3 linked regions of the Rhinolophus ferrumequinum genome follow. The protein of the gene in region 2 interacts with the protein of the main gene of each other region in a pairwise test. Links are inferred from orthologs where the notes say so. Each region holds a gene or a part of one and is shown on either strand. Other genes may lie near its edges. The genes, in order: PTPN3, WDR6 and G2E3.

Region 1 (9,527 bases), on a different chromosome or scaffold from region 2:
CAACATGGGCCCGGGGGGTTGCCACGAGAATTAAATGAATGAGTTAATATTTGGAAAGCATTCAGGAGCAGTGCCTGGAAGCCAGGAAGTGCCATATTAGTGATGAATAAAACCAGAGGCATCCTGGCAGAAAGTGCTTAGGCCTCAGAGACAACCCAGAGGTGTCACTCCTACCTGGGGGGAAAAGAAGGAGAATGGGCACTTACTCCTGGGTTGCGGGAGGCTAGGCCCCCAGCAGAGATGGAGGAGTACCCTAACACAGGAGGTGAGTGGGTCCTGCATGAGCCAAGCTCAGAAGGCAGGACCTGGGGAAGAGTCGCCACTACTGAAATACACACGCTCTCTTCACGCCTCTGAGCGTTTGCACCTGCTGTTCTGTCTGCCCCTGAATGCCATCTTTTTCTACCTTCAAGGCTGAATTCAAATGCCAGCTACTCCCTACGACATTCCTTGATGCCCATCAGAATGAGTGGTTGCCTCCACCGGTCTCTCTTGCATCTGGCTTTAGCGTCTTTTAAAGCAGTTATCAGATGATAGATGGACAGATCGCACACACTCACACACACGCAAATGTCACTGTCTTCCTAATTCTGCCATGAATCCTTCCAAGATGTGTTCAGATTTCATCTCCATAACCCTAGTGCTGGACACATGGTATAGACTCAGTAATTGTCTGAATTTGCTGTTAAATCTGTGCTCACAGCTGGTCTTCACTGGAGGCACAACCAGAAGTTGTGTGATGCAAGATCTGTGGGTCTTGGAATCCATGACCTGATCTGATTGCAGCCAGGGGCCTACCAAGTACTCCCTTTAGTGCCCCCTAAGGCAGACGAAAGGCGACACCTGTGACATCAGAGCCTGTAGTTTCTGAGACCCAGACCAGAGCAGTGTGGACACTGACCAGGTCCTGTCCCATCCCTATTAGAGTCGGTGAGAAGAGCGGAGGCTTGGGAAGAACACCAGCAGGCTGCCCCGCCCCCACCAGCCTGTCACCGTCAGGGTAAGTGCCTTAGGCATTCCAGCTCCTGCAACAGACCCTGGGAAGAGAAGAATGGGGGTCGGCCCTGCTGTCCAGGAACCACTGTCTGGTGGAAGGAAGGTCAGCACTGGGATTACGGTCAACAGGCACTCTCCTAGATAGAGAGGGAGGGACCACACATTGCTGGTCCCTTCCCAGCCTGCCACCACGCTGAGGGTTAGGAGGAGGTAGGGTGCCACATGTCCTGTTCCCTCCAATCCCCAAAGCCAAGCCCCTCTGATGGACATTGTCTATTTTAGAAAACAGAATCCCTCCGTGGGCCTGGACCTGAGGTTCACAAGGTCACAATTCATCCCTGTTGCTCCTGGCCCCACACTACCTTTGCTAGCTCAGTTTCCTTAACTGCAAGAGAGGGAGAGGGAGGGCACTGAAATGAAACAATGTATGTGAAACCTTCTAGTTCACAGTCAACAATCAATCTCCTCAGACCATTTACCAGCCTGGAACCCCAACTTCTTCCAGGGATAAGATTTGTCTCTGACCAGAAGTTAAAAGCTACCAGGATACATACATCTCTATGACAAAATGCAGAAAGGAGGGCTCAGACACAGGAGGGGTGAAGCAGTGTGGGACCCTGAATCTGACTATGTGTTAACTTAGGTTCTGTTTCCTGCCCCAAGCTGTCCCTGAAGCCTTCTATTGTGTCTGGCCTGACCAGGCAGAGAAGTTCCCCCAGGCACCCTGGTGAAGCTCATTGGGGTCCACTGGCCAACTCTGCATCCCCCATGCCCAGCACTGCACTGCCATACAGAACAGAATGCCTGAGCTACTCTGAAATGCCTTCAGTAACTTGACCTTTTACATTCTCCAGCTAATGTCTAATTTGCATATAAGAGTCGGTTTTAGGAGATGGCAAGTCACCAGAGACAGCTCAGGATCAATATAGAGTATTAGGCACGTTTTATTCTACTCTAATTCTCTGCAAATTGGTATTCCATTAACTGTACGTGGGATTTATGGGCGCTCACTATAAACTAGAATATTTAACTAGAACGACCTACTCTCTGTCAGATAATAGCCTACTATTGTTAACGTTCAACTAGTCAATCTCAGAAAGGTTTCCAGCTTCCAGCCTATTTTACATCTTGATTTAATCATCAGGAAAGTCATCTATTTGAAAGTCTCCACACCATAAAGGGCAAGCTTGATACAGAAGAAAAAGACCTGCCCGTGGAACCAGAACACCTGAGTTGTGAGGCAGCTATACCACATAATGTGTAATCGACTGCTCAAAGCCTCGATTTCACCTGTAAGATGGGAATAGCACCAGCCTCAACAGGGAGTTGTAAAAATTAAATGAGTTGATGCATGTGGATGGTCTCTGTGCAGTTTTATAAAGCTATACAAAAGTCAGTTACTACAGTACAAACAGAAGATGAAACTCTCAGACCACGTGGATAAGCTAATGACAGAAAGCAGCAGAGGTTCTAAAGATATTTGGGATATTTGGACCCCCCGAGAACACCTGGCCATGTCTGGAGGCATTTTTGGTTGGTTCAACTGAAAGAGGGAAAGGGATGGTTACTGGAATCTACTGGGTAGAGACCACGGATGCTGCTAAATATCTTCCAATGTATAGGATAGGCCCTACAACAAAGAATTAACTAATCCCAGCCATGAGATTAAGAAACCCTGGTCTAAACAATCACTTAAAGTTGGGTCTAGAAGCTTTTTGAAACAGAAACCTTCCTAACCAGGTTTTACTTTCAAAAAGCACCATCTGCTTAAACATTTGCAAGATGGATCATCACACAAAACAGCTCTTTTGTAAGGAAAGCTGAACTGCCAACTTCTGGAGTTTCTGAATGTATAAAACTGCTTTTAAAGAAGATGCTCTCCAATTACAATTCGGCTAAATTGTTTTTCCAAAGCCCTTGACTTCGGTAGAAGTTCTCCAGGGCACAAGGACAGGGTCTGTCATTCTGCCACTAGGCCCTGAAGATGCTTTCGTAATTCTAATTTCCTGGTGAAATGGGAGTCACGAGGGTCTCTAAACGAATTAAATTCACATCACGCCAACTGCTGGCCTGCTTTCTGCCGGGCACGGTGCCAAACACCTCCACATAATTTATCCCACTTAATCCACCCAACAATCCAGTAAGGTGGGCATTATTACCGGTAGTTTGCAGGGGAGGAAATTGAGCATCAGAGAAGTTAAACAACTCGCCCAAGGTCACCAGCTGCCTAAGGGGGTGCCCAAGTTGATCGGAGGTCTCCAGTTTCCAAGTCACAAGCTCTTTCCACCACCTCGGAAAACCCAGGTGTCAAGTTGTCTCAACTTCCCATGAATTTTTAAGGCAATAGCAACTTCTCAGTAACTTTAGGTTGCTGAAAATGGGAATTTCCGGGGGGCAGGGAGCACCCACATACACTCCCCTACTGCAGCTGTCTCACCGCAGGTACCTGATAAATCATTCCATATCGCCCGCAGAACAGGGAGGATTTATTGGCACTGGAGTTCGTGCCAGGCCCAGGAAATGCCATCTTTGAAAACCGAGAGGCGGATTCGCCCTGGGAGCCGAGAAGCTCTGGCCGCCCCGCGGGCAGTGCGCCCCCTCGGCGCCGAGGACCTGGGTCGCGGTGGCGCTGGGCCCTCCGGAGTCACGGGCTGCGCTAGCTCCGCGGGTCGCGTCCGCCCCAGCCCGGGTCGGAGCGCACGCCCACGCCTCGCTGCCGCCGCCGCCGCCGCCGCCGCCGCCGCGTCCCGGAGCCTGCTCCGGAGCGAGCCCCACCCGGCCCGGCCTGTTCCCTCCCGCCCCGACCCCGCCAGGTGAGCGCAGGAGGGGCGCCCCCTCCCTGCCCCGACGTGGCACCGGGACCCCGGGGCCGCGGCGTCCGCCAGCCCGCCCGCGCGTTCGCCACGCTCCTGGGGACGGGTGGGGGCGGGGCGGCGCCGAGAGCGACCCCGGCCCTTGATCACCCCGCACCCTGCCCCCGACCCGCTGGGGTCACGCCGGTCCGTACCTGCAGCATCCGGGGGCGCGGGGCGCCCAGGTACGTCGCGCGTGCGGGCGGCGCGGAAGCTCGCTCGCGGCGCGACCTGGCCGCCGTCTGAGCATGCCCAGTGCCGCCCGCGGGCGGCTCCCGCCGGCCGGGCTGGCCGCGACGGGCCCGCGCGCGGGGCGGGGGGCGGGAGCCCGGGCCGCTCTACAGGGCGCCCCCGCCCCCGCCCGGGGCTGCTTGCCGGGACGCGCCTCGCAGGACCACCGGGGCTCTCCTGCCGGGCTCTGGGCAACCCCGAGTCCCCTCGCGCGTGCACGCAGTCATTCCTTCCATAACCATTTATTGGGCACCTACTATGTGCCCGGCCCTCAGTGATCTCATACCTGTGAATGTCAAGCAGTCGGCGCTCAACAAATCTTCAAAATGAGGAGACTGGCCAGAGGGTCCGTGGTTTTGCTGGGGTCCTGCTGTGCTTATCCCCAGTTCAGTGCTTATCCCCTTCCACTAGTAAGCTTCCAGGCTTAAACTTTCCCAAGATTTGGGGGCCCCCTACTTGATCTGTGCTCCTGCTTTCCTATTCCACCTCATCTCACACCTGCCTTCTTGCAGCCCCTTCTCCCCCATTAACACCTTTCTGTCCACCACCACTCAGAACTTGGCCAGCCTTCACATACTTTTGCCTCTCTGTGGGCCGTCTTCGCTCAGCTTTTCATGTGGCTGTCCCCCTTCTGCAAGAGGCCTTCCCTTACCACCTTACTAAATTTGCCCCCTGCCCCTGGACACTTCATGTCCTCGCTTTATTTTCTTCACATTTACCACTATCCATTAATTCCTTCAACAAATAATTATTGATCATCTACTCAGGATCTTCACGTGTGAACAAATAGACCATCCCCGCATCCACCCCTCCCCCCATGGAGTTTGGAAGAAGAGAGGCAAGGCAACAGACAATAAACATGCAAGTAAGCAAGCTATATAGTGTATTGGGAGGTGATACGTTCTATGAGGGAAAAAGAATAGGGTAAGGAGACTTGAGGGTGAAGGGAGTACAATTTTCAATGAGGTGGTCAGATGGGGTGACATTAAGAAGGTAACATTTCAGCCACGCAGGATAAATTGGAAAGAGCATTCCCTAAAGAGGGAATAGCCAGTGCAAATACTCTAATGCACAGGACCGCTTAGGAAATGGCAAGGAAGGCACAGTAGCAGGGGATGAGGCCAGTAACTGACTTTTCTTCTGATTTGCTTACTTATTGTGTATCTGATTTGCTTACTTATTGTGTATTCATCTCCGGATTTTCAGCTCTGGGACTGTAGTCTTGCCTGTCTTGGCTGCAGTGTCCCAGCCCCTACAACAGCGCCTGGCACACAGTAGGTGCTCAAAAATGATTTGTTGAATGAATATGTGAATGAAGGGATGAAGGGATGGAGCGATGGATCGATGGCTGGAACCATCCTGTCTAGACCCGAATGCTTGAGATCCAGGGGACCAGTAGGCCTACAGCCATAGGGCGGCTGCCAGCAGCACCTGGTACCCCACTTCGGTCCCTGTCCCCGTGTCGCCCATCCCGGGGAAGAGCCACAGCGGCTGGCGCCGCCAGAGTGTGGTGGCGTCGGGGGAATTCCTACGCAGCCAGGGAGACCTAGGAACTGGACCTCCTCCGCGCCCCGCCCCGCCCCGACCTCTGGTCGTCGGAAAAACCTGGAGCTGTGGCATTCAGCCAGCACCATTGGGACGGGCGGGGTGCTCACTGGGCATGCTCAGAGCTGGGCGGGGCCGGTGTGCCCGGGAGGTGGATCCTCCTGGACAAGCTGAGGACTACCCCTGCAGAACACCACGGAACCCCTCTTAGATGGGGGGGGGGGTGGCTAGATGCGACTGGGGACTTTTTTTTTCAAAGCTCAGTGGGAAAGCTGGGAATTCAGAGTCTGCAAAAGGCATTCTCTGTCCTCTTCCAGCCGCTGTGTGACACAGGGCAAGCAACTTACCCTCTCTGTGCCTCAAATACGAATACCTACCGGTTGAATCTGGACGGGATTGAATTAAATCAAGAACGTGAACATTTAGTACACTTTAAAGATCCATTTCTTGAGTGCCTACCTCAATTATCCGTTAGCCTTATACTAGTTTTATAAGTGCTGAGATGAGGAAATTGAGATTAGTGGACATGTGAATTCTTGGAGTTCTCATAATTTGCCTTCCACAAGGACCTAGGTTGAAACTACCTTTTCTTTCCTCACAGACAAATCATTAGCTTAAACAGCGTTCTCAAATTAGGGCTAAAATATATCGGTACGTCTAAGGAAAAAGACCAAATATATCTAAAATTGTGCATTTCAAATTACCATAACAGAAACAGGAACAAAAGGAAAGAATATCTCCAAAACTGGAAATAAATGTTGAAAATGGAGGAATGATTAATTAGGTTATGGTATATTTATGGAAATAACTATTTTACGCTAAATAAGACCATGCTGCAATAGGGGAAATACGATGTTTTCCCCTATTGTTAAGTGATAAAAAACTGAAAACACAAATGCACTGTGTAAAAATTTTGTCTCCACATTCACCAGGACTTACAAGGAGATATGGAAATATGTAATAGTCTGATTAGGAGGTAGTGGGATTGTTTTTTCTTTTTAAATGTATTTATTAATGTCACAATGTTCTGTTTGCAATCATAAACATTTAAAAGATCAAATTAAAAATTCTTAAAGTTTTGTATAAGTCTAATAATAATAACAACAATAATAACCACTATTATCAAGCTCAAGTGTAATCAGTGTTTTACTCATCTGCTGTCTTTAATCCTTATAGAGTGGGTGTTTTCAGCTCAGTTTTACAGAACAGGAAACATTCAGGAGCTGTTCAGCTTACAGCTGGTAAGAAACAGGGTCAGGATCTGAACACAGGTTGGCCTGACCTCAAAGCCAGGGTGTTAGGTTTTATAATACTGCCTCTCTGTATAGTAGCTTACCATGTATTGATCATTAAAAAAAAAAACGTATATTATTCCATTTTGTGTCTTTTTTGCCATATTTTCTCTACCCTTTGATGTGTTTGTAGGCCACAGATTACCTTTAAATATTCTGGTCTCCTGTCACTGTTTTATTCTTGGGGCCAAAATGTTAAAGTCCATCCTTTTAAGCTGTTGCACCTGGAGTGAAATGATGTTATTATCAGCAATGACAGTTAATCTTACGTCATAAACCTTATGCAAATGAGGCTTTTGGATGGACATATAATCTTCTTAGTCTGTGTATTGAATGAACCCAGCCAAATCTTGAGTAAATAGAGGCCCCATTGGGAATAGAGCTGTACCAAGTCTCAGATAATGAGACCAATCCAGAGAGGACCCACACAGATTACTGTCCGTGGCAATCATTTTGGAGGCAGACTCTCAACATAATGGAACCATGTGGTCCATGGACTCCTCAGGACTTTGCTGTGATGAAAAGATACATAGCTGCTGGTCCTTGATGATGTTGGCAGAGAGAAAGCCAGGGCTCTAAAAGTAGCCTTCCTACTATTGATAAATTAAAAAAAAAAAAGTCAGCTCTCTTTTTTTAAAGAGACTGTAACTGGCCCCAAAATCACTAAATTACAACAACAACAAACACAAAAAGTCAAAGAGGGTCATTTCATTGGAGAGGAAGAAATTCTGCAAACCAAATATGCATTACTGGTAATGGGCCAGATTGATAAAAGTGAGGAGGAACAAGAGATGAGCAACTGCACAGTTATTAGCAGCGTTCCCAGAAGCTGCCATTTGGACAGAAATTCTGGTGCCAAGAGCTGCATGCAAGCAATTGGCTGGGGGCATTTATAGGAAGAGTTTCCTGGAAGAATCACTGAGGATTGTCATTCACATCAAGACTCAGGAAGTCTGGGTACCACGTGGACCTCTCTGAATGATTTACAGGGCAGGGCTCCCAGCTGAGATGCTAATGCTCATCAATTATTTGTGCTGTTAATGCAAGCTCAGGAAGGGCCCAAGAATCCCTAAATATGTGGTGCTGTTATAATGACAAGTGAAAAGAATTCAATGTAAAGTTAGCATAGTATAGCTTCAACTGGGTGAATTGCTCGGTTAAAAACCATATAACACTGCCATTTTGTAGGTCCACAATGGTTAAACATCAGTAATGTCCTATGTTTCAACTTAATAAGATTCACAGAAAAAAGACCAGAAAGAACTGCACCAAAATATTAATGGTGGCTCTGAGTATTGCATTTACAGGCAGAGAAACAAGATACAGAAGGTATCTTTTATAAATTAGGAGAATTTCAAGTCTTTGGGTATCTATTTCTTTGTATGTCTTTATAGTTCCCTAAATCTTATTTTACACTGTGTTTCTTTTATTATCAGGAAGAATGAAGCAAACTTAAAAGTCGGCAAACTGAAGAAGATGATGTAAAGAAAGGGAAAATAGCTACTCTGGAACTGTACAGAAATTCACCCCTCACAGAGGGTGAAGCCCGCCCTGCCTGTCCAGCAGTGGCAGATGGCGACAGGATGTCTGCTCCTGGCCCAGGAGGGAGAGAGAGGAAGCAGTGGTCAGTAGTCAAGTCAGGAGCCTGTAGAAAAGTGTTAGTCCAGCACGGGACCCTCATTCCCTCAACCTGTATTCCTGGGACTCCAGGATTTCATGGATCTCACTTTGAGAAACAGATTTTTAAGCCTAAAGTTTTATCCATTAAAAAAACCACAAAGTCTTCCGATTTCAAAGTATTACTGCCAAAGAGTTTTGTCTGTAAAACTGATGAACAAATTTAGCATGAATACAAGAACAGAGATGAGGTGATTGTCGTCGATTCATTCATTCATCAGATATTTATTAAGCACCTACTGTGTGTCAGGCAGTGCTCTTAAGTGCGTAGGAGACATCAGTGAACAAAACAAACACTAATCTCTGCTCTTGTGGGCATGCATTCTAATAGGGCAAGTCAGACACTGAACAACAAACATTATAAATAAGTGAATCATATATATGTTCAGAAACCGGGGTTAAAGGTGACACGGAGAATGATGGAGGCGGGGTGGGGAGTTGCAATTTTCAATAGGATTGAGAAATTTAATCACTTAAGCAAACACTTCAGCAGAGACCTGAAGGAGATGAGGGAGCTGCTATTCATGCAGAAATCTGGAGCAAGACTCTTCTGGGCAGTGGGATCAGCCAGTTCAAAGGCCCTTAAGGGAGCATGTCTAGAGGAAGGGGGCTGGTGGGGCAAGCAGGAAAGCTGCATGAAGTGAAGCCAAAGAGGTACCAGGAGCCAAAACCTGAACTCCTCCCGCCTACCTCCCGCCCACTGTCAGCCCAGGAAGGACTCAGCCTTTCCCTCTGAGCTGGATGGAAGCCAAGTCAACCTAATGGCTGCCAAATGTGCTTGACAACACATCAAAGAGTTAAATGCTGCCCTTTTAGATGGTCACTCAATGATGACTGTTACCACAGATTTGAATAAGGGGACTGAAATCATGTAGCAGCCCTCTGTTATAAGGGCGTCAGCCAGACCATCCAGATTATTAATATATTTTTAACA
Region 2 (10,200 bases):
GAGAGCCGAGACCCCCGAACCTGGGTACCCACGCCCTACCAGGTGCCACAGGCGGATGCCTGAGTCATCGCCCCCGGTGATCACCCAGGCTTGCCTCTCATGGGCAGCTAAGGCCCGGATGCCACGGCCCTGGTGGCCCCGAAACGCCTGGAGGATGTCACCCTCGTGGCTCCACACCAGGCAGACACAGTCCTCTCCTGCACTGACAAGGTAGTTCTCCAGCAGCTTCACCTGCCACACACGAGCACTGTGCCCAAAGCAGTGCCCAACATTCTGTACCCGACCCCCGGGCACCCGCAGGTCACCCACCTTCCAGATGCGAACACTTCGGTCTTCTGAAGCTGTGGCCAACAAGCCCTTGCTTTCCAGGTATGACATGCTGAAGATGACACCCACATGCCCACTGACCCGACGGTCGGGGGCCACAGGTTTACTGTCCATTAATGCGGTTGCTGGGTACCAGACCAGGAGCTGGTTGGAAACAGCACCCGCCACTACGGTCAGCTCCTTCCAGGTGTCTCCGATCAGACAGGCGGAGGAGAGGGTACACCTGTCTGTGCAGGGTACCTCCTGCAGGAGGCAGCCTATCACCGGGTCATACAGCACCACTGAGTTGTGGCCCAGGGCCAGCGCTATGTTCCCCTCGAGCCACCGTGCATCCCAGATCCAGTCAGACATGTTCCACAAGCCCGAGCGCCAGAGCTCCCGGAAGCGGCCCTGTCCCCAGCTAAGTTTCACAATTCGGAGTCCCTTGCTCCCAAACACAGCCACCATGGCCTCAGAGTCAAGGTTGCCATTGGGTTCTGGTCGCACCCGGAATCCATGGATAAGATAGTGGCCAAGCAGGTTCTGCACGCGCCTCATCATCCGCAGGTGCCCAGCAAAATCCAAGCTGTACACCAGGACATCGGGCCCCTCACCTAGAGGGAGGCAAAGAGCCACATCAGAAGTCCTCACTTAACCCTGACGAGCCGTGAAGAGCCAGGGAGCAGGGAAAAGTCTGCACATGCAGCCTGTGAATGTTAGGACACGCAATCCTACAGGCTTGAACCCTGAAAGATCCTTGCTCTCGGCCCCAGCTGCACTTTTAGTGCTGATGCTCCGATCCTGCCACTCCCGACTTTCAGTTCAACCACGAATTCCTCAAACCCACAGCCTCCTCCTGACCCCACCGAGAACCCAGACAGGAACCTTTTCAGCTTCAGTCCCACAGTCCTTAGCCCCCAACTGCACATGAATCTAATTGACCCTCCCTCCCCCAGGGGAGCGGTTGTCCCACTAAGAGGACCTTTCCCCCTTAGGACCACGGCAGAACCCCTCCTGACTTCCAGAAGCTTCTTCCCTATATCTCAGAAGATGGGAGTGTGCTCCATTTCAATGGGGAGAACCAGGAGAGGCAGCCCCCACTTTGGCGGCAGGGGCTCCTGTGGCCCTCAGCGGCCTCCTGGCTGCCCCACAGGCACCTCCCAGGCTATTAGCTCATCCTCAAGTTCTCCTGGCGCTCCTCAGCCCAGGGACCATTACTCCCTCTCCCCCAGCCCCAAACCAGGAAGCCCACAGCTTACTTCTCTTAACTTCCCACATCTTCTCTGTCTCCAAGTTCTGTGGATTTCATTTTCTAAAGAGTTTGCAAATCCTCCCCAGCAGTGACATTGGTCCTGGACATCACATCTTAACCTGACATCACCCTCCACCCTCCTGCTGCCACGTGGTCAGCAGTCTCAATCGTGACATTCAATCAACATTCATTGGGCATCAGTTAAGAACCAAACAATGAACTGTACGCTGGCGTAGTGAATAAGACAAGCAGACCCTGCTCTGTGGATGAGGCAGACTAATTAAGCAATACCACAGATGTGCACTACATCATTATAATTTTGGTAGGTTCCAGGAAAGAACCATATAGGTTGCTTTAGGAATATAAACTACTCCAGTGGTTCTCAATGGGGGCAATTATCCCTCCAGGAGATATTGGCAATGTCTGGAGACATTTTTGATTGTCACAACTGTGAGCTGTGTTACTGGCATATAGGAGTGGAGGCCAGGATGCTGCTAAACATCCTACACTGCACAGACAGCCCCTCACCCAAAGAACCATCTGATCCAAAATGTCAACTGTACCAAGAATGACACCTTGAGGACACATCTTTTAGGCTGAGGAATCACGGATGAGCAGTGGTAAGCCAGAGGAAAAGCAGTTAGGGGGTAGGGGGAACCTTTCTTGACAGAGTATATAGCAAGTTTGATGTCCTTGAGGTGAGCAAGAGCTTATTGTGGCTGGAACCAGAAATGAAGGGCTCAAGGATGGGCTAGAGAATGCTACCGAGGGGGTCAGGGAGACATAGCTGCATGGCCTCAAATGACGGCAATAAAGGTACAGATGCCACAGGTACGAAGTCCGAATCCACCAGATGGGAAGTCACAGGAGCAGGTGAACTCACTAGAAGAGCTTTCTAACCTGTATTTCCCAAGTCATTCCCCTGCTTCAAACCCTTCAACGGGGCCTCCGCACCACCTTTAGGGATAAAGTCAGATCTAGAGCTAAAATGGTCTGGCCTCTGCTCATTTTTCCAGCCTCTTCCAGATCCCACCCCTGCTCCAGTAGCACAGGAATTCCCTTTCCCCCAAAGTGACAAATTCTCTCAGCCTCAAGACCTTGGCATGCTTACCCTCTGCCAGGAACACACCCCTTTTCTTCCCCTAGTTCATTCTTGTGGTTCTATAGGTTTCTGCCTAGGCATCCCCTCCTCCAGGAGCCTCAGGAATTTAGCTCATGGTAGGAACCCTGGGTTCCCAGAGCCTCCTTATTAGACCAAAACTGGGCCATCCTTCCTCACCCCCACCTACCCCTCTTGGGATTGGTAGAAGCTCACTCAAGGCTTGAGAGAAGCACCCTGCCTTGGGACACATAAAACTCTGCAGCAGCAGCATCAGTCACTAGTGGCTTCCAGTCGGGCCTCACTGCTCCCCAGAGCTCTGCCGCCTCCGGCCCCAGGTCTTTGCCAGCCTGTGCTTCCCAACCCGGCCCTCCTCGGAAGGGAAAGGACGTCGGATTTCCACAAACATCTCAGGAGGGGCTTCAGCCTTCGCCTTCCACTGCCTAAGCACTGGCCTACTCAGAAAGGTCTCATCCTGGCTTTCCTGTGACCCCATCCTCGTCATAGGATCTTCATCACCGCGCTTTCAGGGAAAAGCTTCAACCACCCCCGAAGCCACACCCCCGCCTTTCCAGGCCCTGCCCTCCTCCGAGGGCACACCGGGGCCCCCGGACCCGCCAACCTGGGTGGGAGGGGATCCTCATCCGCAATCTCCCCGCCCCATCTCCTCCAGAAGGGCCAAACCCCGCCCTACTCATCGAAGGGGCCACACACCTCTCTCCCTCCCCTTCCCTCGCTTCCAAAACGACTGCGTGTCCCTGCACCTTCCCGCGGCCCCACCGCCCTTTCCACTTCAACTGCAGGTTGCGAAGGGCCTCGGTAGCCACATCGGTGTTTTTGTCTCCTGGGCCCCTCAGGTCGGGTCTCATACCCGCCACCTCCAGGGCTCTGTCCCACCTCCGGACGGACCTCCCCCCGTCGCCCGCCCTCCTCCTCGGGGCATCCCTTTGTTCCATGCCCCGCCCATGCGAGCACTCGGCTGCTTCTCCGCTAGCGCGCTCCTCAAGCCAAACCTCACCCGCCAGCAGCCGTTCCCCCACGCACTCCAGACCCGTGACCGGGAGGAGTATAAGCTCCGAGGTTGCCCGCGGCCAAACGTAGTCCTCATGAGCGTCCATGGCGGTCCTCTAGCCGCTGCGGCTGCCACCGCCGAGAAGAGAGGAGCTCTCGCGAGACCGGTCTTCCCCGCGCGCGGCGCTGCCCATCTACAGCGCCCTTAGCAACAGGTAGCCGAGCCCGCTACCGGTGTCCAATGACGACCCCTTGCCCCACACAACCCAGCTAACGATTGGCGGGGCCGCCCTCGCCCCTCCCCCTCACGTGACACTCGCCGAGCTCTCATGGTGCGGCCCAATCCCCCTGCCCACTCTACCTTCCGCAGACCTCACCTTTTCAGCCCAGCGGCTCAAAGCTGTGTGGTTTTATTTGACTGGGCAGCATGGGTCTGTACACAATAAATAACACGAATATAGGAATTGTGCCCTAATCGCGGCTGGAGGCGGGGATGGGGCGAGACATCGGCCAGGCCTTTGGCCTACAGCTGGACAAGGGAACTGCAGGGCCCGCCGACCTTGGGTGGCAGGCGACCTGCCGCTGGAGGCCAGGGCTGACCCTTCCCTCAGAGCTCCACGCGCGCGTCGCGGTAGGCCCGGTCCAGGGTCCACTCTGGCTGCGAGTCCGCGCCACCTTCGCGGGCCAGGCGCGCCATCTCTTGTTGGAACAGCGCCTGCCGCGCCCGGCTGGGGTCCACATTGATCCAGTTGTTGGCAATCCACTTAGTGCCTCGCGTGACCAAGCAGCCCCCGTGCAGCGAGTAGTCGTCCACATCGCCCACCCAACCTAGGAGAGGAGGATGGTGTGAGCAAGGGAGGGGACCAGAGGACCGCTAGGCTGGTCTGATTTGAGCTTGGCCTCATACAGCCCAAGGACACAGGGTAGGCCCAGCTGTGCACATCTTCCGTGGCAAACATCTGGTCCCAAGGCCACCTTGGGAGCTCAGCATCTCACCAACTAATGCCTTGTCAACACCGCTGGCCCTCTGAAACCAGCTTTCTTGCCAGGCTGTCCAGAGCCCTTCCCAGCCTTGGTTGGTGAAGTGGGAAGGCTGGGGCATCAGGGAATCACGGGTCCAGATAACCCAGGAGACTACACAGATACAGGCCACTGAAGCCACTGAGGATGGTTTTGGGGAGGCATTAGGGGCAGAAAGCCATTTGTAGGGCAGCCAAAAACAGCTCACCAGGGTGGCAGTCCCAGCTGGATAAAGGAAAGCTTCCCTCAGGGCATCCCTGGCCTGGCCACAGGCTCTCACCTTGCCCATCTGGCAGGTAGTTGTACCAGAAGACTGCTGTGCCCTGCCGGGGCTTGACACGCAGGTTCCCTTTTTCACAGTGTCTCCGAGTGTCACGGAGGTCAACATCATCCTGAATCAGGCTCTGTGGGCAGCAGGGTGGTGGGTTTTCAAGCTGTCCCCATTGTTTGGCCAGCAGCCAAGGCCAGATAGCCAAAGGTAGCCAGAGGGAAATGAGTCAGATGTGCCCAGGGGACCACCGGGGCCCTCATTCCAGATCTGGAGGGGAATGAATGTACCATGTTTGCCCAAGGCCCTGCCATCCCACCCAAGTAACAGCCCGGTTGGCTCACCATTTCATCATAGGTCCTGTTGTCTGCTACAGGGAAGACAGTCTCTCCCCCACCGGTGACGTTGTTCAAATAAAACAGCACTGTCATGTAGCTGTAAGGCAGGGGGGCCATTGAGCATGTCCCCAGCAGGGGCTGCTCCCAGGGGCTTTACCTGTAGGCAGGATAAGCTGCCCAGGTTCCCAAAGGCCAGAGGGGCAGGCTGAGATCAGTGACCACAGGGCAGGTCAGTGCCAAGATATCCCTAGCCCGTTCTTCCCACAAGCCTGGTCTCTTCCTGTGTGTCACAGTATTTTTTGTGGCAGATATCACAGGTGCACTTAATTAAATTACGTGGCCCTGACCAAGGGCCCGCTGGGAAAGGTAGGCTAGCAGAAGCAGCAAGATCATGGAGAAGAGCTGGCTGCGACGAGAAGGAGCTGAGTCACAGCTGCCACATATAGAGGAGAGACCTGCCTCTATGCCTTGGCAGGGGCAGGGGACACAGCTTCAAAGGAAGAAACTGAGTCCTCCGGCCGTGGAAGCAGGATCGATACCCGAGAAGGGGGCAGAAAGAGCTGGGGTCTGGCCGCTGAGACAAGATGGCCACCCCCTTTCCTGACACTTGGTAAACCACCTGGGGGGCAGAGGTAGGAGTATCCCCTGCCAAGGGACATGCCCACAGGGCAGGGCTGTGACTGTGTCATGGCGGTGCCTGGCCTGGGAGTTGAAGGCAGCCCCCAGGTGGGAGGTACTTGCCGGCAGGAGGTCTCGAAGGGTACAGATTCATTGGCTACTAGCTTGGTGTGGGAGCAGATGGTCTCTGGGTACACAGGCCCGCTGTCCACATGGGCATGGTAGTGGCCTCCCTCTCCGTACCGCACCACCTGCAGGGGCTCGCTGAGCTCCACGATCTCAGGTGACAGGCGGGTGAGGCGCAGCACCCTGGTGGGCAGCAGGCATTCAGCGGGGCATCCCCATGCAAGGTGGCACCCTGAAGGAGCTGGCCACAAGCTCTGCCCCTGCCCACCTCCCCTGGGAGCCCCTTAAGCCACCCCAGTCTGGTCCTATAGGAGCAGGAAGAGGTTACTCTTAATGAGCCCTTCTCCCTGGATGTTAGAGACACCCACCGGGTGGGAGAGAGGAGATTTCCACTAAATTGGGTGGGGGACACTCCCCCAGGAAGGAGGTTATCTAAAACCCCTGGATGCTCAGAAGCAGGGGGTCCTGTAGACAGAGATAAGAGGTCATGTCTCTAATTAGCAGAAAATAGACATTCAGTCTATCTCTAATCCCAACTGTATACTGTTTGCCCACAGTTAGGGCTCATTTGCCTTTGTTAATTGCCTGTCTTTCGATGGGTCCCAATCCTGGTCTAACAAGTGGAACTTCATCCTGAGTTAGCTAATCAATTCTGTCCTCTCCACCCCAGCCAAGGCCTTCTGTGGACGCCCTGCATGGTCTCCCCCGCTGCACCGAGAGGACAGCATCGGGTGCTCACCTCTGGCGGATGGCACGCATGACGTGATGGGCACCTTCCCCCTGGTAGAGCCATGTGTGGTGGCTGTTCCGCACCAGCTCGCTGGACTCTGCCTTGTGTCTCCTCATGTACTTGTGGAAGTCCCGAAGGTCCATGTTGGAGAACTCCTGCAGGCTCAGCACTCCTGCACGGGGCACCCACCATCAGTGCCCACCAGGCCCATGCGGGGAGGCCAGTGGCAGGCTGCACCTTCCTACCTACCCTGGCCTCAGGCACTGGGGGGCCATGTGCACCTGTCCCCCAACCTGGACTCCTGGGTCAGACGAACCTGGCTTCTGTCACATCAGGCCCTACAGGAAGACCCAGAGAAGTTCATTTCCTCACTTTAAGCCCTGAAGTGGCCCCCAGCCAGAAGAAGCCCAACTCCTATTAGATTGGCCAGAGCAAGGTCTCCAAAGGAAGTTTGAGCTACATGACCTGGACCCTAGGCCATGCACTGCCCCTGGCCCTCCAGCCTGGCTCTACAGAGCATGGTGACCACCCTTGGTCCTGTAGAAGGTGAAGAAAGAGAGCAGTTAGTGCCAGCTTTTGTCTAGGGCCTTCCACACTACAGTGTATAAGCTAGGGCTGGGCCCCAGAAGACTTCACGACTCAGGTCCCATCCTGAGTGAAACATACCTGTTCAGTCCTGCCTGCTGGGTTACCAGATTACCTTAGCAAAGAAAGCCACGCTCCGCAGTGAGAACACTCTCCCTCTATTCCTTCCCAACCCACAAAACAGGGGCTCCCCCCTCTTGGGATTCTGGAACAGGAGCTGATATCTTTGCTCCATATTATCCAGGCTAACCCAAGGGAGACACCTTCCTCTCTTTTGTCCAGATTTCTCTGAGGATGGGGGACACCCAAGGGCTTTGAGCCTGTCACCAGCTCTGTCCGTAGGGAAATACAGCAGCATGATGCCGCTCTAGCCACAGGTCTCGGGCAGATTTTTCACTCTGGGTTCACCAGCCACAAGGTCATTCTTCCAAGTCCTATTTGACTGTTGTATCTTCCTAACTTGGTCAAGAACTTGGGCATGACAGAGGTGACTACACCTCCGAAACCTCCTGAGAGTTATTGTCAAAGGTTGGGGGCACTTGCACGAGAGCTTCCCCGCCCACACCCACACCCAGCAGTTAGAATGACTCCAGGTGGGCAAGAGGAAGGCAAGGGAAACCTTGCTCAGACCAGAGACGGTGTCTGCTAGAGCGGACCCTGTGCCTGGCTGGAGAGAGGCAGATGGAGCAGGTGAACAGCCAAGTTCAATCTGTCCCTCTCTGTCCCTTTGCTCTCGCTCTCCCACTGTGCCCTCTGCCAGCCAGCAACTCTACCTCCTGTACCTCAGACTCTGCCTGATGAGATTAAAAGAGTCTCCAAAAACCGCCCTCTAGACTGTCACTAAGGAGAATGGGAAGGCCTGCCTCCTGCCTATTTCCTCAACTCCTTGCCTGTGGCTACTCTAGAAGCTGGGCATAGAGGCAACCTGGCTACGGGGACAGAAGGCTCCCAGGAGCAGAATTGTGGCGAGGTATGCACTCACCGTCACCATCAGGGTCGGCCTTGATCGCGGTGTACATCTCCTGAATGTTCTCCGGAGTCATCCACCGTCCATTTCCCAGGCGAGTCTGGGCCAGGACCTAAAGCACAAGACGGTCCCTCAGTGGGGTGGCCCCAATGATGGAGAGCCATCAGAGTACAGGCAGCTACCCAGTTCTTGCTGTGGGGCTAAGGTTTCAGGTGACAGGGCATGGGCGACGGCACAGGACAAGCCTGAGCTGAAGTGGGGGTAGGTGGTGAGGTCAGGCAGCATCTGGGGAGGAGACCAGGAAGACAGCCAAGAGCCCTGAGGGCCACGGGTACAACCAGCCCTGCTGGGACTAGGGCCTCCGTGGGGAGCACTGTCAACTGGTTGGAGGACACAGTGAAGGCCAGGCCCGTGTCTCGCTCAGATACCCCAGGTGAGCTGTGGGAGCCCAAGGCCTGGGTGTGAAGAGCAAACAGGCAACGGCAGCGGCCTGGCCAGGGCATGAGCACCACGCCCCTTGGGAAGACCAGGCTCAGTGGGGCACTTGATATAGACAAGGGACCCCACACCTCGCCAAGACCTGTCTCAGAAGCCTGGGGGTAAGAGGCATGCCGAGAGAGAGATGCAGACTCCCCCTCAGAGTTGCCACCCCGTCCACCATGAAAAGTTCCACGGGGCTCCCCCCTATGGCAGCCAGGAATCCAGTCACAGATGGCACAACACCCAGGAAATGTGGTAATAAATGCCATCCCTCCCAGGCAGATTCTTCTGTTAGCCTCTGGGATTCCTGGGGCAGCAAGGAACGCCCCGGGGAATGAAGGGGACAGTGGGCCTGGGCATGCCCAAGCTGATATGAGGTGTCATCTGACTGTTGGGGCCAAGCCTGAGCATGACAAGTGATGTGGCCACCAGAAAGATAATTCTGGGCACTCCCCACCCACATGCTCCTCACCCCGCTATGCCTACTCCAGGCCCTAGGATCCCAACCTCGCGGAGCTGCAGGCGACCATCACGGTTCTGGTCCAGCAGCTGGAAGAGGTCCAGCTGGCTGACCTGCATTGTGCCCATTGCCTCCTCGTACTCTTCAGTGGGCAGGATCTGGCTGCGCTGTAACCCCTTCATCTGTGCCAGGTGGATGATGAGCCGACACTCCGCGTCACTCAGGAAGCCAGGGATTTCTGCCAGAAGAGGAGATAAGTGAGGGAAGGATGGGCCAGGGCATGAGTACACCCGGTAGCTTCCTCTCTGCAGGGTTCCTGGGGTACTCCCGGCCGGTAGTCACCAGGTTAGGACACACCCCTTTACATCTGCGCTGGACTCTGAGTTGTCCTGCAAAGGTTGGCCAGCATTTAGGATGTGGGGCCTCTCTGATGCTGAGAGCACACATTTTCTAGGAGAATCCTGGGAGGTAAGCCAGAGCTACGCGGGGCCTGGGCTCACCCACCTTGGGGTGGGACCAAAGGCCAGAGGGTGGACCTGAAGGGTGGAGGGTTGACCTCCACTTATCTGGTATATATTCAAGAAGTAGAGGGATGGTGCCTGACTTTTGCTTTCATTTGTACTTTTCAGCATTAGTCAAATAAAAACAAAGTACAAGACGTTTGGCACTTTAGGCTGGTCCTTCCCCTCCATCCGGCTGCACAAGTGGGCGCTGGCTATCTGACCGGCTGAGTTGTCTGGTGCTGGGAGGTCAGTGGGAGAGTCACTCAGGTTTTTGGCAGACGCTCTGAAAAGATGCCCTGAGATGGCTTTGGGAACAAATGTACACTGAACACCTGTTCCATGCCTCTAAGTCCCTGAGAAAAGGCCACTGAGGCCTGGGCTTGGCCCCAGTGGCTGGATGACCCCACACCGGCCCCCAACCAGTGTGGTGGAGCTGG
Region 3 (10,241 bases), on a different chromosome or scaffold from region 2:
ATAGAGTACCATGGTAGCCTATATTCTCATTGTGACGTATTTTAAACTGTACTGGACAATCTTGTAGCTACTAGCCATCTGTGGCTAATGAACATTTGAAATGTGGCTAGTACAAATTGAGATCTGCTGTCAGTATAAAATATATACAAATTTCAAAGACTTAATACCAAAAAAAGTGAAATATCTAATTAAAAATTTGATTGGTTATGTTTTTATAATAAAATATTTTAGATAAATTAAATTAAATATATTATTTTAATTAATTTCATCCTTTTCTTTTGATTTTTAAAAATGTGGCTACTAGAAAATTTAAAACTGTATATGTGGCTAACATTTGTATTGGCAGTGCTGGTGTAAGGAATTGCTGAGGAGAAGCAGACACCTTGCCTACTTGTTTTTCTCTCCTGTCTTTTAGTTGCATTGGCACCATTGCACATAATAGACTAGTGAGTAGAACAGAGGAAAAGTGGCATACAAGAGATAGGAATGGGGGAGCAGGGAAGAAATTTGTTGCTCCTCTAGAATGATTTCCAAAAAAAGTACCTCCTTTGTAAGGCAGTAGGTTGACATTAGAGTTAAGTCAATAATGATAATAATAAAAGATGTTAAAGAAAGAATTGCAAAAGCAAGACCAGGAAACATAAGTGACACTTCCCATCTACCAACAGTCCTGGCCCCCTCCATTATCCCCACACACACCCATGCTTTGCTTCTAGGCTAGGTATCCTATTATAAGAATCTGAGGTGACCTCTGATTAGACTTTTTGAATGGTTCCTTCTAGAAGTACACTTCAAGTTTTGTTTCAAGATCTCAGGGATGGTGACTCATCAGGGAAGCATATAGGTTAGGTGACCTTAGGTACCAGGCAGAATATTTGATAAGGAATGCTTTAAGGGCAAAAGCTAGCAATTTATGCTCAAGGTGGCCAGATATTCTGGGAGCTATGTGGGTATAAGAAAGGGAGGCCAGGGTCTGCCAAAAGTATGGGTGAAATATGTTCTTCAAGTGTGGATAGGAGATGAGGATCAAGATAATCTGGCTCATATGAAAGGCAGAAAGGGTTACCAGAAATTCCCTATGGCTAACCATATTGGAGGAATGAGAGACTGTAAAGGACAATTCAGTCCAACAGTGTGTACCGATTCTAGGCAAGTGCTAATGGAAGAATGAGTGCCATGCTACAGGGCCAGATTTATCAGCATTACTATATAGCTGAATATTGTTACTTTTCTAATTAAATATGAAGTCTGACAATTAAGTTCACGAACTCATCCTAGAAAAAGGGCTACATACCTCATTGCTGAATATCACTATGGTCACCTTTGAAGTACTCCCCTTGGGCAGCTATGCACCAGACACCAGTGCCTAGTCCATCCTTCAAAGCAATTCTGGAACTCTTTTTCTGGAATGGCCTTCCGAGCTGTTGTTGTATTACCCTTGATGTCCTGAATTTCATCAAAATGTCTTCTTTTCAATATTTCCTTTATCTTCAGGTAAAGAAAGAAGTCATTGGGGCCAGATCAGCTGAGTAGAGAGGGTGTTCCAATACAGTCATTTGTTTACTGGCTAAAAACTCCCAGACAGACAGTGCTGTGTGAGCTGGTGCATTGTCATGATGCAAGAACCATGAATTGTTGACGAAAAGTTCAGGTCGTCTAACTTTTTCACGCAGCCTTTTCAGCACTTCCAAATAGTCAACTTGGTTAACTGTTTGTCCAGTTGGTACAAATGCATAATGAGTAGTCCCTCTGATGTCAAAAAAGATTAGCAATATCATTGCAACAAGTTGGCGAACTTAATTGTCAGAGCTCGTAATATCATTCTTCATTTTCATTTGTATGTTTTAGGGGGTTCAATAGCCCTAACATGGGAGGCAGCAGCTAACAGGAACAAAGCGGCATAGCTTTGTGAAGTCTCCTAAATGTACCCCCAACTTAGTCAGTAACTTCCTCCTGATAGACAGTTATTTCTAATTAGGAGTGCTTCATAATGCAGTAGCATGTTTATTTCTGGAAGGAGAATTCCAAACTTGAGAAGATTTGATCAAATAATTACTTTGCAAAAGAGTTGTAGCAGTGTATGTCCCCAGTAGATGAGAATGTATATTTTACAACCAAACCATCCCAGTATTGGATGTTATGAATTGTTTTAATTTTTACCAATCCAAAAAAGGAAATTTAGTTTCTGATAGTGTGAAAGTGAGATTGAGTATTTTTAAATAGTCCTTTCTCATTTCCTATTCAACGAAGTTTTCTTTTGTCCATTTTTATTATTTTTCAAAAAATAAAATTACACAAACTGTTTACATTAGCATTGTTAACCTTGTATTATATGTATTACAAATATTTTTTCACTGTCTCTCATTTATATGTTGATGTTTTATGGTGAACCCTGCCAGATAAATACTTTGCACTTTAACATAGTCCTATGTATTTGTTAGGGAAGCAAAATTTTTTCCTCTACCCTCTTATTTTCAGTACTTGGAGTACTGCAAATTAAACTGACAAAAGATAGATTGATAGAGAAAAGGTGTAAAAATTTTCTTTTTAATTTTACATGCACGGGTCCACAGTAAAGAAGTGAAAACCCAAAGAAGTAGTTGGGCTTAAGAGCTTACATACCAATTTAACAAATGGCAAAAAATTGAGAAGTGACTAGACAAAGGAAGAAAGGTTTGGGCTTCTATGAGCAATAAATTGTGGAAAAGTAAGTATAGGGGGGAAAATAATGGTAGATAAGGGTTATTTAGTAAGACTTTTTAGTGTAGACTCCTTGGTTCCATCTTCATCTCTAGTGATAAAGGGTGTTCTCCACAACTTGGTACAGAATAGAGAAGGCGGAACACCTTTAGAGAGGGAAATTTTTGCCCTGCTTTTAGTTAGATAGGGGAAGGGAAGAGAGTTCTTCCTGTGTCTGCTTTTCTCTCAATTGTCTTCAACTCCCAATAACTTTTATGGCAAAGTGTCATACTTTGGGGTGGCATAGTTATCTATTATTTTATGGCTTCTAAGGTTCCTCCCTTCTTTAAGAAGTCTTTTCTAACCTAAAGTCGCAGTTATTCTTCTAATTTGTCTCCCAATACACTTTTATTATATTTTTATATTTCAATCTATAATCCTTCTAGAATTTATTTTGGCATATGGTGCAAGATAGAGGCCTAACTTTGTATCTTCCATATAGATAGATAGTCAGTGACCGTCTTTTCTTGTTAATTTATAAATGAAACATCTTTTTCCTATTAAACTGAAATGCCACCTTTATTATTATATATTAATGATATATATAAATTATTATATATTATTATATATTAATTATTAATATATTAATATCCCACATATAACTGAATTTTCCTGGATTCTCTATGTATTTGTCTTTTTTATGCTAAAAGAATTTTTTCTCTACTACTCTTTGATCATAGTAGCTTTGTGGTAAGTGTTGCTCTCTACTAAGACAAATGATCTCCTCCCAGACTCTGATAATATTTTTCTAAAATATCTTAATTCTTATATCTACCATTTAAAAACATTGAAATCACTTATGTTCTCCAATTGCACTTTTTAAAAATATTAAGGCCTATAGTTTTCTTTAAATTTATTTCTAGGCATTTTGTTGTTATCGCCACTCATGTTGGTTGCGGTAAAAATCTTTCAGAGTAGATTCTAGGAGCCCTTCTGCCAAAACACTTTGTATTGACTCTTGTATGTAAGCTGATGACCATTGATCTCAAAAGTGATTTTGATTTGTTTTCTGCTGTAGATGGGTGAATAGGAGGAGGAAAGCAGGGAAGAGAGGTTACTTTAGCTATGGTTAAAATTTTCAACAGATTTAGTTCTCAACTAGTTCAAAATTCTAAGGGGGTGGTCATCAGAAACTAAATAACATCCTTTGTCCTTTTTTTCTTCAGTTTTTGCAGCTTTTATTAAGTGTAATACTCATCAATGTATTTCCGTAATTGAAAAAAAATGTATTAGCTATCAGAATACATATTCTGATGGCCAGATTTTTTAGATTTAAATGTGCTCTGTTGTGCATATTTTCTTTAAAAACCTCTTAAGTCTGTGTTTACTCAGTCTCCTTGATTTAGTCAGTGGGTACCTGTATTTATTGCACATCTTCTTTGTTTATGAAATGCTGTAGCATTACTTGAATACTGATTGTATGGAAATTTACCTATAGTCACTCTGAGGGGAAAAAGGAGTAACTGTTTAAATAGTACAAATAACTTGACAGTCCACTCAATAAACACCAGCCTTAGGCAATTTATACATTTAAGCCCAGCTAATTCTATGGGGGGAAAAAAAGTCAATGACTTTAAGGGGTTTTCCACTGCGTTGAAAAATTAATCTCATTGGTCTGACTGATGGCAGGGCTGCTGGGTGATTAACTTTGTCAATATTTTGGAGGAAGAAACTGAGGAAATCATTAAGGGTCCTAAAGAAGTACTGACTGAGGAAAACTCAGAGAACAAATATTTAAAAACTTGCCTATATAGGTCATATATATATATATATATATATATATATATATATATATATATATATACATACACATACATATATACACACACACACACACACAAACACACACACACACACATATGTATATTATTTTATAGATATATAGTAATTTTAGATTGTTTTGTGGGCTTTCCAAGGGCAATTTGAGTATATTTAACTTTTGCTTGCAGATTAATTTAAGAATTTAATGTCTGTAAAGAATGAAACTTAATGGGGGGCAGATGCCAAGAATTATGAAAAACACAGGAAAAAAAAAATATATATGTATGTATATATACATACATATATATATACATGTGTATGACATAGTTTCTGCCTACAAGGAACTTGAACAATATATTTAATGGGGCCATATTAAAAATGTGGGATATTAAACAATGTAACCTATCATGAAGACAACATGTATGGTCAAACCATCACTATATAATTGCTGAAAGAAAGAATGAATGAATGAATGAATGGACGGTAGACTATTCAAACATTATACATTGTACATTTAAACCTGATTCTGTATTAGAATATATTCAATTTCTAACAATCTTGTTTTAAAAACAATTAAAGCTGCAAGAGTAAAACATGCTTATTAAAAAATTCAACTAGTTATAATGTGTTAAAAAATTCTCTTCCCATCCTCATTTACCAATCTGACTCACAGAGATAGCTTTACAATGTATTCATCCAGAAACTTTGCCTGCCATATACACACACATGTTTTTAAAGGATACTGTATGTAGTCCTTCTAAAGCTGATTTTTTTCATTATTTCATTTGACTACTTACTGATACACTTCATTATTTTTAGTGCCTGACTAGTGCCAGTATATCAGACTCTAAAGTCAGAAACTTACTTAATCATTTTCTTATTGATAGACACTCAGGTTATTTCTTATTTTCCACTGTTAAAAACAGTTCATCAGTTAATAGCTTTAGACCTCCTTGTGTCAGATTATCTGTGAAAGAAATTCCCAGAAATCTAGTGAATCCTTCAAACTGCAGTTTTGACGGAGGCTGAAGTGTTCTATCATGACTTTATTTGAACTGATCAGGTTAGGTAAATCTATGCTATTAGGTATGAGGATGAACTGGTGGCAATGTCAAGATCAGAAGCTGGAGACATTTTGGATCGAGGATACACTGTGCAATCCTTGATTAAATGACACCGTTGTCCCAAGAGTCTCACAGGACAACTACATAATCATCTTATAAAATGGTCTCTAATTAGGGGAGGGGGGAAAATTTGTCGCTTTCTAACACTTAGCCTCAAATATTTTATTTGGAACCAGGACTGGTCCTGCTACTTGTGGTTGGAATAAGGTTGATTAGCACAACCTTGGCTTTTTGTCTTCCTCAAACACGGGAGGAAAAAGAGGTTAAAAGTCCTGCCTCTGCCGGGATAGAACTAAGCAGACCCAGGGAAACTCCATAAGGGGGTTGTTGTTTTTCTTGCTGTTGCTGTTGTTTACGCGAGGGTAAGGGAAGGGGTACAAACGTCCGGGCTCCAGTAGTGCTTTTATTCTCTCCCTATTTGAAGAAATGAAAACTTCAGCACGTCTCTGTCCATTTCAAAAACAAGAGGATCCGTTCCAAAGACACCAGGCAGAACCACCGACCCCCCTCGCCGGGACTTCCTTTTTTTTTCTGTGGATCTACGTAGGGAGCGAGACAAAAGAAACTGAAGCGACACGGTAGAGCCACCGCAAGTCGCTCCGCGAGAGGAGCCGCGGCGCGCCGGGTTCTTCCCACCTCCCGCGTCGCCGCGGGCTCCGCCTCTCCAGGGGCGGGGCTACGTGCTACTTCCGGGTCGCGGACGGAAGTGGACGAATTTGAATCGTGCTGGCGGTTGTATGAGGATGCTCGCGGTTGGCCTCGCGCAAGAACCAAGTAGTGATACGGCGGTTCTGGAGCTTCTGCCCCGCCTGCCTCAGTGAGTGGACGGGGAACGGGAAACGACAGAATATTCCGAGGTGAGAAGCGGGACCATCGCATGGGAAAGGGGGTCGGGAGGCGGGCCAGTGTAGCCGGGGCCTGGGACTGCCTTGGGGGTTTGGGGAGCGGGGACAGTGTGGGGTCTTGGAGAAGTCGGGGCGCCGGAGAACGTTTCCCCGGCCTGCGCTCCCGATGGCTTGGCGTACCTAGAGCAACTCAGTGTACTGTGAAATCGGAAGCCCCGCACGCCCAAAATTGAGCTGGTTTAAACGGTTGACTTTCTGGTAATAGCAGGTTAGTATTTTTGCCGGTTCGGCTGGAATATTGAAGCTTCAACAGTAGTTACCTAGTTGCGAAGGCGTTGCCATAGGTAAAAGAATCTTTCTTTATTAAAGATGGAAGGTTGGGGACAGGTTTAGAATGAGGAGATGCTCTGTGGCTCTGAGTTCCTCCTAAGAGGGAGACCCGTAGAAGTCTATTACTTGGGCCCGCAGGGAAATGACAGTCTTTGAAATGCCTGCTGGGAATTTAAACTGAAATCTGAGTATCCTTTGTATTTAAAACCCGGATATTTTTCGTTCACGGTTGACATTTTTCACGTACCCGAGACTCTTGCTCATTTAAACTGGCCACAGTAACAGCGGTCATTCACAAGGTTTGTTCACAATAAGAATAAGAATAAGGTTTAGTTCCACAGACCTACCTTTTCACCGCCTTCCTTCATTGGCCAGTTGGGTTATTGTGGAGTCATTTTGGAAGTACTCTAGTATTTACAGCTTAGGGTTTTCTTTTCTTTGTTTTAGTTTTTTGGTGTTTTTGGTTTTTGTTTTATTTATTTTTAATGATGAACTACCTAAAATATCAAACTCTAGCGCCGTAGCAAAGTCATGCCTTCTGGAATAGTTAATGGTGTACCCTAAATGTAAACTATAAATGAGTACTTTAAATGTGTAGAAATGTGCCCTATTGAAAACTGTCAGGTTAATTTTGTGTTGCTTTATAGGAACAGATATTTTGTTTCTTTTAAGATTTTAACACCAGGGTATCCTACCATATAAATGTATAAACATCTTTTTAAAAGTAGGACTTAGTAATATTCAGAATAGACGTTCCTTCATCCAATGCTGGCTACTCCCACTCTCCTCCTATCTCTGCTAATGAACGTTTGTTTCATTATTAGCCAGTAAAAATACAGCTTTCAACTTTCATTATTTATAATTGTTGAAATTTAAAATTTTGTGTAAGATTGCATTAAAGAAATTAGATATACTATCCTAAAGATTGCAGACAATTGCTGCTCATTTTATATAAGCTACCAGTAAGTGGTAATTAAAAAAAAAAAAAGTCTCTGCATTTTAACCTGTTTCTTTTCCTTACCTGGACTCTTTTCATTGAGTTTTTGTTCTATCTACCTAAGTCAGCGAGTTTCAAATTTTATTTCGTACACATTACCTTGAAGGATTTATTAAGCTCTGATTCCTGCACTTCAAATCTCAGAGTGGGTCTGGAAGATGGGGTTGAGGAATCTGTAAATTTAACTGGGAAGTTAGAAAATTTGGCCAGTTTTCTGACTTGATCTTTCTTAGAGAGGCTTTATAATATATAGGTTAAGGGCATGGAACTGGTGTCAAATTGCCTGGGTTTGAATTCCATATCTTCTATCTTGGTGAATGTTCTATGTAAGCTTGAGAAGAATGTATTCTGCTATTGTTGGATGAAGTAGTCCATTATATCCAATTGGTTGATGATGTTGAGTTCAACTATGTCCTTACTGATTTTTTGCCTGCTGAATCTCTCCATTTTTGGTGGAGGGATGTTGAAGTCTACAATTGTGATAGTGGATTTATCTGTTTCTCTTTTCAATTCTATTTTGCCTCGCAGAGTTACGTAACACCCTGTTGTTCGGCACATACATGTTAAGTATTGTTATATCTTCTTGGAGAGTTGACCCCTCTGTCATTATTTATTTCTGATAAAGTTTCCTTACTTTGAATTCTGCTCTGTCTGAAGTTGATATAGATACTCTTGTTTTCTTTTGGTTAGTGTTAGCATGGAATGTTTTTCTCCATCCATTTACTTGTAATTTGTATTTAAAGTGGGTTGCTTGTAGACAGCATATGATTGGGTCTTATTTTTTGATCCACTCTAACAAATCAGTCTTTTAATTGGTACATTTAGACCATTGACATCAAAGTGATTATTGATATAGTCAGTTTAAGATCTACCATATTTGTTACACTTTTCTATTTGTTGCCCTTGTTCTTTGTTTCTGTTTTTGTCTCCACTCTTTCTGCCTTTAGTGATTTTTTTTTTTTTGATTTTTTGATTTTTTCATTGGGGAAGGGGAACAGGACTTTATTGGGGAACAGTGTGTACTTCCAGGATTTTTTCCAAGTCAAGTTGTCCCCTCAATCTTAGTTGTGGAAGGCACAGCTGAGCTCCAGGTCCAGTTGCTATTGCTAGTTGCAGGGGGCGCAGCCCACCATCCCTTGGGGGAGTCGAACTGGCAACCTTGTGGTTGAGAGGACGCGCTCCAACCAACTGAGCCATCCGGGATCTCCTTTAGTGATTTTTAATTGAGCAATTTGTATGATTATATTTTCTCTCAGTTTTTAGGATACCAGTTATATTTTTATTTTACTTTTTTTTTTTAGTGGTTGCTCTACAGTGCAATATACATGTACAACTAATATAATAAAATACATTGTAGCTGTTGTTAGTTTGAACAAACTATTGTCCATTAGCTCAGTTAAGAATAAGAAGAATAAAGGTTCTTATTTTACCTACACTTATTCCTTATTTGGTGTTCTTTCTTTATATGTGTAGATTTGAATTTCTGACCTTTGTTATTTTCCTTGTCTCTCAAGAACTTTTAACATTTCTTGCAAGGTAGGTCTACCGGCAACGAATTTCCTCAATTTTTGTCTGAAAAAGTTTTTCTCTTTCACCTTTTTTTTTTAAGTAAATTTTATTGGGGAACAGTGTGTTTCTCCAAGGCCCATCAGCTCCAAGTCATTGTCCTTCAATCCAGTTGTGGAGGGCACAGCTCAGCTCCAAGTCCAGTTGCTGTTTTCATTCTTAGTTGCAGGGGCGCAGCCCACCATCCCATGTGGGAATTGAACTGGCAACCTTGTTAAGAGCTCTTGCTCTAACCAACTGAGCCATCTGGCTGTCCCTCTCCTTCACTTTTGAAGGATAATTTCAAAAGATACAGAAAAATAGGTTGGTATTTTTTTCTTTAAGTACTATAAATGTTTCACATCACTGTCTTTTTGCTGCATGGTTACTGAGCAGAAGTTGGATGTAATTTCTACCTTTGTTCTTCTGTAGATAAGGAGTCCCCCTTCCCCCCGCACCCCCCTACCCTGGCTTCTTTCAGTATTTTTAAATTTATCTTTGTTTTTCTGAAGTTTAAAACAAACCTAGGTATAGTTTTGGGGCATTTATACTGCTTGGTGTTCTCTGAACTTCCTGGATCTGTGGTTTGGTGTTTGGCATTAATTAATTAGTCCTTAAGTTTTTATTGTGTCAGGTATTTCTTCTGTTCCTTTCTCTTTTTTTCTTTCTGGTATTTCCAAAATGTGTATGTTACACCTTTTGTAATTACCCCACAGTATTTGGATATTCTGTTCTGGTTTTTGTTTGTTTGTTTGTTTTTTATCTTTTTTCTCTGCTTTTCAGTTTTAAAGTTTCTATTAAGATATCTTCAAGCCCCAATTCTTTGTCCAGTCTACTAATAATCCCATCAGATACATTTCTTTATTTCTATTACAGTGTTTATCATCTCTCTAGCATTTA

Evidence for each region.
Region 1: the proteins of WDR6 (region 2) and PTPN3 interact in binary tests that used the Homo sapiens proteins (3 or more experiments, as listed by UniProt). The two-hybrid records come from large-scale screens. The link is inferred for Rhinolophus ferrumequinum from reciprocal best matches to the Homo sapiens genes WDR6 and PTPN3.
Region 3: the proteins of WDR6 (region 2) and G2E3 interact in a two-hybrid assay, tested with the Homo sapiens proteins (2 studies listed by BioGRID and IntAct). The two-hybrid records come from large-scale screens. The link is inferred for Rhinolophus ferrumequinum from reciprocal best matches to the Homo sapiens genes WDR6 and G2E3.

What each region holds. Positions count from the first base shown.
Region 1 is NC_046295.1:62,474,562-62,484,088, forward strand, and holds the start of PTPN3 (tyrosine-protein phosphatase non-receptor type 3), read right to left. Parts: upstream 4,103-9,527; 5' UTR 4,004-4,102; intron 3,683-4,003; exon of another isoform or gene 3,443-3,682; intron 1-3,442.
Region 2 is NC_046300.1:7,237,259-7,247,458, forward strand, and holds the start of WDR6 (WD repeat-containing protein 6), read right to left. Parts: upstream 3,871-10,200; 5' UTR 3,776-3,870; coding exon 3,676-3,775; intron 922-3,675; exon of another isoform or gene 921-921; coding exon 1-920. Other genes in the region: P4HTM (transmembrane prolyl 4-hydroxylase), read right to left, coding at 4,276-4,496, 4,969-5,092, 5,301-5,391, 6,036-6,221, 6,778-6,940, 8,336-8,432, 9,308-9,498. UniProt on the Homo sapiens protein: Together with methyltransferase FTSJ1, methylates the 2'-O-ribose of nucleotides at position 34 of the tRNA anticodon loop of substrate tRNAs. Required for the correct positioning of the substrate tRNA for methylation.
Region 3 is NC_046289.1:79,632,150-79,642,390, forward strand, and holds the start of G2E3 (G2/M phase-specific E3 ubiquitin-protein ligase), read left to right. Parts: upstream 1-6,345; 5' UTR 6,346-6,481; intron 6,482-6,665; exon of another isoform or gene 6,666-6,737; intron 6,738-10,241. UniProt on the Homo sapiens protein: E3 ubiquitin-protein ligase which accepts ubiquitin from an E2 ubiquitin-conjugating enzyme in the form of a thioester and then directly transfers the ubiquitin to targeted substrates. Essential in early embryonic development to prevent apoptotic death.